Linked DNA regions of Xenopus tropicalis. The main gene of each other region encodes a partner of the protein of the gene in region 2 in a complex. Links are inferred from orthologs where the notes say so. Each region holds a gene or a part of one and is shown on either strand. Other genes may lie near its edges.

Region 1 (3,818 bases), on a different chromosome or scaffold from region 2:
ATGAACCCTGGGCTGGGTGCCAGCTCAGTGTTCCATATGAAAGATTAGTATCATTGGGGTGTCTAATAAAATGGCACCCTCATCAAGTGATTTGGCATTTGTTATCCTTTAAGTGCATGTTTTTCATTGATGAATTGTTAGGACTGACAGTTGTTGTACTCCGCACTGTGCATGCCTGATCTTCTTATTGTATTTTATCTTGCAGGGAGGTATGAAAATGAACCCAACTGAATTCCGAGAAGATAATAATAATAATAATGATGATGACGATAAAAAAGGTATTGTTCATCAAATGTTAACTACTGCTTTAGGTACCAAACTTCTAATTGGCTTGGCAAATATCAATACTGAAATTATTTTCTAATTAATGCAAAAAATAGTCATCTTTATGTAATGAGTAACGCCCCTTCCTAATTGTATTATATTTATCTCTTAAGGGAACTGTCAACTTCTCTCTCATTTTTATCACTTCCTTTTACCCTTTCGGTTCTAGGGTTTTTAAGACTAGATTCCCACAAGCAACCTTGCATTGATGTAAATTTGCCATAATGTGTATTTAAATCTCATATAGAAATTTCAATAGATTAACTCTATAAATCAATGTAATAAACCTGTTGTTGCTGATACACAGCCAGACTATTTTATAATGTCTATGCTATTGCTCTTGTTTAAAGGGGAACGCTACGCTTAGTTTTTAGTTATTTAGTTTTAAATATTGCGAGGCTAAAGTATATTTGCTTTTCCTATAGCGTTCATATAGTTGTTAGGCTGACTAGCTGAAACCTCCTTTATTACCACCCACCATTCTGTTTTGTTATAATCCCCTTGTGGCCTGACATAATTTTGTGTGCAGCCAGCTGAAAACAGCCACTCATGGCTTTATAAAGAAATGTACACAGCATGAACACTTCCCTTATTTTATTATAGCCGGCATAGCTATTCTTTATTCTAGGCACAATCCAGCATATGTATTTAAAGGACATGTAAACCCCACAAATATGTAATCAGTGATCAGCCTCTTTGAAATCTTTCAATACATGCCACACTGGTTGTCCAGAGATTAATAGTAAGGCTGCAGCATCCCCTTAATCACTTAGATTTGCTTCTCCTCCTGTAACCCACTCGGCCGCCTCCCTCAGGAATTTGCTTTGATTCCTGGCTTGCCAGACATGCTCAGTTGTTCTAAGCTCAGATTACTAAACACGCCCCCCAGTCTAGCAGCCAGTGAAGAGATGGCATTACTGGTTCCCATAGAAACTCTGCTCTAGCTGTCTGCTTCCATTTTTTTCTCCTGAGCTCAGCTTTACCATTACAGTGCTCAAACAAAAAGTTTTGCAGAACTTTTATCAGAGACAGTTTTGCCTGTGTGAACCTGCATTCTTGATTAAATGTATGCTGAATAGAGGTCTGTGTGTGTATGCTCTTTGCAGATTTAAATGTAACTGATTATGTATGTATGATTATGAATGCAAAATGGCCACTGGGAGAAAGCTACCATTTTTCACAGGAAAATGTTATGGTGGTAGCAAGCGGAGGGGGTATATGCAGTACAAATGATGCCATTTGGGTGGGGGAGACATGCCCAACTGATATACATTGTAGGAAAATGTAGGCTTTACATGTCCTTTAAGGGTACAGAGGACTGGTATATCAAGACCTGTAGATGATACTGAAGTTCTGATGTTGTCTTATTGGTTGACCTCTGGTGTCTGCAACTGTTGTAAGCCCTCTTACTTGGTTCTTGATCTGCAGACATCATATCTTAGGAAACTTTACCATTACACATTGCAGATCTCTTTAAAAAATGAATGATTTAGCCCATATGTAAAACGATTCAAATACATAAAGCCTTTTCATGAAAATGATATTATTCTTGTAGCACGTTCCACTCGTATGAGGCTCTCTGCTCACACAAAAGGCAAGGGCATACATACATGCTAAGTTAAAACAGCCAATAAATGGTTAGAGCTATTGTTTTGCACACACACTTCTTCCTATTACAATCAGAGCCACATTATTTCTTATAGTTATTACATCAGAAGATTTGTCTGTGTTTTGGCTACTTTTGTTTGTTCTGCATTTTCAGATGAGAGCAACGTAGGAATGCCATGTCTGAGGGAAGAATTCAATATAAACTTTTGTTTTTTCACTTGGAAAAATCAGTGTTGATAAATACATGTTTTTTTTGTTGCACAGTTTACATAAAGATACTAGTATTATGCATTTGGTGGGCAGAGTGCATAAGAGGCTTAAAATACTTGCAGAAAGTGCTTACTGAGGTGGTCAGTAAGGCAGAATCATGTGTCATGAATGTATTGGGTACACTTGTACTGTAATGTAATGTAAAGCTATAATAATAATAAAGTTATATAATAAAAGTTATAAATAAGGAAAATATTCCCATTAATAAGAGAAAAAATGCATTTCCCAATGTAATATTCTTCATGTACTGGAATCCATATAATATAACAAGTACCTGTTGTACTCCTTTAAAATTTGTTTTTTCTGTATACTTTTTTCTTACAGTGAAAGTAAAAGTGGAGGCATGCCATGAAGATGATTTGCTGGACTGTTCAGGTGCTGTATCTGGAAGGAAGCAAGTGCCAGACTGCATATTTGTTGGGCAGCCTGAGCCCAACAAAAGAAAACAAACTTCTTTTATTTGCGATGGTCCAAACAGTGAGCCTGAAACTGTAACAACTGTAAAAAAAAGACGACTTATTCCAGAGGTGAATCCTTTTTTTTCTTTTTTCAGCAATAAACCAAGGACCTGTGCTGGTCTCTATAATGCTTTTGGAATATCTTTTATTGACAGAAAACATTGCCAGGGTACTGTAGTACATATACAGTATATATTTTATATTGTAGAGAGATGACGGCACTCACAGGATTTACACGATTAGGAGTCAACGGGTCAGCAGTATCATAGATAAACCAAAATTCTTTTAAGGTTTTTATTGATCCAACGTTTCAGTTCCTTCCGGAGAGTGTATATATATATATATATATATATATATATATATATATATATATATATATATATGTAAATAAAGACACATGAGAGTTGATTCACTAAAGTGCGATAAAACGAGCGCTATTTATAGCATGCGTTAAAAAATTTATTGTGTCTTAATGCACGATTCACTAAAAGGATACTTGCGTTAAATTAGATGCGATGTTGTTTGCGTTATTTAAGTTGCAAAGACTATTTTTGTGCGGCATTTGATGCAACGCGTGCTAATTAACAAAGCGCACCACTTATCGTGCGCACTAATTAACGCACGTGCACTACTTATCGCGCACACGCCATATTAGCCATACACATCATTACATTCGTAAAACTACTTTTCTGAAAATGATCATTTCCCTGCAAACTGGAGGATGCATCACTCTAGGGCCATGCATACTTCAATAAATCACACTGCAAAGTCCATATTGTGTTGCCAAAACTCATGAACTGTACTTTTCTATAATTACCGCCTGCCCTAAGTAGGTGTTAATTTTTGCACAGACTAATGCGATATTTAGCGCGTCTAAGTGTTTGTGAATCATGTGTTAATATTATTTCTGCGCGCTAATTAACACATTCGGTTGCACGCTATTTAATGCATGCGATAATACTTTATCGAATTGCGCACTTTTTTTTTTTCACGTCAATTTTAACGCAAAAAAGCTTGCAATAACGTTAAATAACCCTATGGTGCCTTTTGTCACCACGTGAGATCACTTCTTGCATGTGGAATAAAACATCTGAAAATATCCTTCCATTGCAGTCTACAGCAATAGCACAGTTTATCGTATAATCACAAAAAATACTA
Region 2 (4,503 bases):
GCATTGGCTACACAATTAGATGATGAGGAGGGAAGGGAAAAGTGAGATATGCAGTGACATCTAGGTAGTGCTAAATGGAAAGCTAAAGTTATTGTCTGCCCTGCCTCTGTGCCTAAGGCATAGAGGCGGGGCAAGCAATATATGATTGACAGCTAGGATTTTTAAATGCCTTTATAATGGGTTTGGATGTGTTAATATAAAAATGAATTTGGGTTTCATGTTTAATTTGAAAAGGACTTTTATTATACAGCTTTTTATGTCTGGGTGACAGGTCCACTTTAAGCAGTTTATACTTAAAGAAGAAGGAAAGGCTAAGTCACTTGGGGTGCCAAAATGTTATCCACCCCCAAGTGACTTAGATCGCTTACCTTCTACCCCGGGCTGGTGCCCCTGTATGGAGAAAACCGCACCAGCCCGGGGTAGCAGCAGTCGCATCCTCCTTCCTCCCTCGCTGCGCGCGCATGCGCAGTAGAGTGAAAAGCCGAACTTTAACAGAGAAGTCGGCGTTTCACTCTACTGCGCACGCGTCGGACTTGGAGTCTCAGGGAAAGGAAGGCGGAAGGAGGAAACGCATCGCCCCAGGTGCCCCGGGCTGGTGCTGTTTTCTCCTAATAGGGGCACCAGCCCGGGGTACGAGGTAAGCGATTCAAGTCACTTGGGGGTGCTTAACATTTTAGCACCCCCAAGTGACTTAGCCTTTCCTTCCCTTTTAAAGTGGACCTGTCATCCAGGCATAAAAAGCTGTATAATAAAAGCCCATTTCAAATGAAATATGAACCCCAAACGCATTTTATTATTAACACATCCATACCCATTATAAAAGCATTTAAAAATCCAAACTGTCAATCATTTATTGCTTGCCCCGCCTCTATGCCTTAGGCATAGAGGTGGGGTTGGCAGTTACTTTCACTTTCAATTCAGAACTTCTTAGATGTTTCTGCCCTCCTCACAATCTCATTGTGTAACCAGTGCATGGGTATGGGTATCAGGTCACCCCATACTGGCACAGAAACAAGATTTTGGCAGGATGCAAAGCTTGACCTAATAACAGTTTCCACAAAATGGCACCTGCCTGCTTTCTGCAACTGTGAATTCGAAGGCTAAAGAAAATAAGATTAAACTACCTTATATGTTGTAAGTAAAGTTTATTTTGCTTGACAAACACAATTGAAAGCAATCTGGAATTATTTCTTAGGGTGACAGGTCCCCTTTTATTGCCACCATTATAGTTACACATATACACACAGGTATGAGATTTACAATTTAGATATTCATAATCCAGAAACCTTCAAAATATGGCAATGCCATTAGAATAAAATGTTAGTATGATGCAGGGAGCATTATTCTGTCAGTCTGCAATTAGTCCTACTTTTAAGAACTTTTTGAACCGCTACCCCAACCGGTTGACAGGTTGTTCAGAACTGATCCATATATAACATATTAAGTCACTAACAGTGAACTTCCCACCTTCCTTTTAGAACCAAACAAATAAACAATAATCCACCCTTTATAACAGGGGTCCCCAACCTTTATTACCCATGAGCAACATTCAAATGGAAAAAGCTTTGGAGACAACACAAGCATGAATAAGGTTCCTGGGGTGCCAATAACAGCTATAATTGGCTATTTGGTAGCCCCTATGTTGACTGGCAGCCTACAGAAGGCTCTGTTTGGCAATTACACTGGGTTTTTATGCAATCAAAGCTTACCTCCTAACCAGAAATTCAAAAATAAGCAGCTGCTTTGAGGCCACTGGGAGCAACATGTTACTCACGAACCACTGGTTGGGGATCACTGCTTTATAATAAAATAAACAAGTGGGGTAAGGCCCAAGGCAGAACTCACAGATCCCAGCAGCAGGAGAGAGATGTCTCCCCTCCCCATGGACATAATGCCCAGCTAGGCAGGGCTGCACAGGGGGCCCCTGACTCTAAAGGAACACGGGGGGCCCCTGACTCTAAAGGAACACGGGGGGCCCCTGACTCTAAAGGAACACGGGGGGCCCCTGACTCTAAAGGAACACGGGGGGCCCCTACCTCTAAAGGAACACGGGGGGCCCCTACCTCTAAAGGAACACGGGGGGCCCCTACCTCTAAAGGAACACGGGGGGCCCCTACCTCTAAAGGAACACGGGGGGCCCCTACCTCTAAAGGAACACGGGGGGCCCCTACCTCTAAAGGAACACGGGGGGCCCCTACCTCTAAAGGAACACGGGGGGCCCCTACCTCTAAAGGAACACAGGGGGGCCCCTACCTCTAAAGGAACACAGGGGGGCCCCTACCTCTAAAGGAACACGGGGGCCCCTATCTCTAAAGGAACACAGGGGGGGCCCTTTTGCTGGGTAGTGACAGACAGACTGACTGACTGATACAACCTGGCCATCCCGGAAATACTGACTGGCAATTTAATATGTATGTACATTTGCCCCTGCCATGCTGGCCCCCAGGGCAGATCCCCAGGCACTGATTTCTGGGCTCCCCATACAAGCCAAGCCGCTCAGCTGTCCCCACATGCCCCATATAAATGCCCCATATAAATGCCCATCACACACACAGGGGGCAGAGACTCCAGGGCGGCAATGGATAAGCCCAACATGTTACTAAGGAGGAACACAATGCGCACTTGGCTACAGGGTCTCTTTATGGCGGCCCAGACAGCACCACTCACTCAGTCTGCAGGCAGGTTATACAGACAATACAGCGCTTCCTCTAACTACTTACAGCTCATATCTTTCTACTTGCTCGGGCTCCACTCGGCTCCTGTGCAGATCTCCCGGTTCATTCGAGCCAGTCGACGGCCTCTCCTCCCCGTCCATGGCTGGATATGCCAGGAACTACTACGCGGCAGAATGGAAACACTAAAGCCCGCTTCGCTTTCAAATTAGCTACCCAGAATGCAGCGCGGAGGGGGCGGGGTCACTGCGTTCCAGGTATTCGCTATGCGTGACGTAACTACAAGAGACGGGAAGGCATACTCAGGCCTCACTTAGGGGTCATACCTCGCTGCGGTTGAATATTTGGAGCTGGCCGCTGTAACGTTAGGGTGGCGCTGAGTGTCTGAGAGAAGTGTTGGCATTCTTGAGGTTCTGCCAGTGTGTGTGTGTGTGGGGTGAAGAGTAGTTTGGGCAGCTTTGCTATGGAGCCGAAAACAAGGTTTGAGAGGCGAGGCAGGGGCTGTGTGAAGGCTAGCAGTGTTGTAAGAGGGACTGTATCGCAGTATGAGCGGCTTAGTTTCATAATTATTAACTATTTAGGAGCCCTGAGTAGGGCTTAACCTACACTAACCCGGGGGTCCCCAACCTTTCTTACTCGTGAGCCACAGTCAAATGTAAAAAGACTTGGAGAGCAACACAAGCATCATAAAAGTTAATGGAGGAGCCAAATAAGGGCTGTGATTGGCTATTAGGCAGCCTCTATGCACACTATCAGCTTACAGGGGGCTTTATTTGGTAGAAAATCTTGTTTTTATTCAACCAGAACGCCACAAAGTCAGGAAAAATAACTACCTGGTTTGGGGGCACTGGGAGCAACATCCAAGGGGTTGGGGAGCAACATGTTGCCCCTGAGCCACTGGTTGGGGATCACTGCGCTAACCCCTAAAACAGGCTAACGCTATATGCACACAGTTGTCTTATTAGGCTATAAATAAAGTACCCAGTTTTATATACAGTGGAGGAAATAATTATTTGACCCCTCACTGATTTTGTAAGTTTGTCCAATGACAAAGAAATGAAAAGTCTCAGAACAGTATCATTTCAATGGTAGGTTTATTTTAACAGTGGCAGATAGCACATCAAAAGGAAAATCGAAAAAATAACTTTAAATAAAAGATAGCATTTGCATTTCATTGAGTGAAATAAGTTTTTGAACCCCTACCAACCATTAAGAGTTCTGGCTCCCACAGAGTGGTTAGACACTTCTACTCAATTAGTCAACCTCATTAAGGACACCTGTCTTAACTAGTCACCTGTATAAAAGACCCCTGTCCACAGAATCAATCAGTCAAGCAGACTCCAAACTCTCCAACATGGGAAAGACCAAAGAGCTGTCCAAGGATGTCAGAGACAAAATTGTAGACCTGCACAAGGCTGGAATGGGCTACAAAACCATTAGCAAGAAGCTGGGAGAGAAGGTGACAACTGTTGGTGCGATTGTTCGAAAATGGAAGGAGCACAAAATGACCATCAATCGACCTCGCTCTGGGGCTCCACGCAAGATCTCACCTCGTGGGGTGTCAATGATTCTGAGAAAGGTGAAAAAGCATCCTAGAACTACACGGGAGGAATTAGTTAATGACATTTATTGTAAATAATGGCGTGTTAAATCCAGTTACAGGGCACATTTAATTTTAAAGTTAGGCTTTCTGACAAAGAAAAACATTGTTTCCTTGTCCCTCATTTTCATTGTAGGAAGCTACCCCATAACAGAGAACTTGGTGAAGGGGCTGAGGTTATAGTTTATACTAGCTAGAAATATGCTACATTAACCTACAGTTGTATTCCAG

What was found.
Region 1: the proteins of ercc6l (region 2) and bend3 are in contact, whole or in part, in a crystal structure (PDB 5JNO), measured with the Homo sapiens proteins. The link is inferred for Xenopus tropicalis from reciprocal best matches to the Homo sapiens genes ERCC6L and BEND3. Residues at the interface, in NP_060139.2 of Homo sapiens: Ala10, Glu11, Ala12, Leu13, Ser14, Pro15, Glu16, Ala18, Ala19, Tyr21, Leu22, Arg23, Lys26, Phe51, Pro52, Asn53, Glu54, Lys55; in NP_001073919.1 of Homo sapiens: Glu252, Gln255, Ile256, Gln259, Leu261, Asp265, Arg269, Val272, Gln273, Pro276, Phe279, Ser280, Phe335, Arg338, Phe339, Gln342, Glu346.

Annotation. Positions count from the first base shown.
Region 1 is NC_030681.2:79,031,661-79,035,478, forward strand, and holds part of bend3 (BEN domain-containing protein 3), read left to right. Parts: intron 1-205; 5' UTR 206-211; coding exon 212-278; intron 279-2,526; coding exon 2,527-2,729; intron 2,730-3,818. UniProt on the Homo sapiens protein: Transcriptional repressor which associates with the NoRC (nucleolar remodeling complex) complex and plays a key role in repressing rDNA transcription.
Region 2 is NC_030684.2:39,733,639-39,738,141, forward strand, and holds the start of ercc6l (DNA excision repair protein ERCC-6-like), read right to left. Parts: upstream 2,919-4,503; 5' UTR 2,816-2,918; coding exon 2,721-2,815; intron 1-2,720. UniProt on the Homo sapiens protein: DNA helicase that acts as a tension sensor that associates with catenated DNA which is stretched under tension until it is resolved during anaphase. Functions as ATP-dependent DNA translocase. Can promote Holliday junction branch migration (in vitro).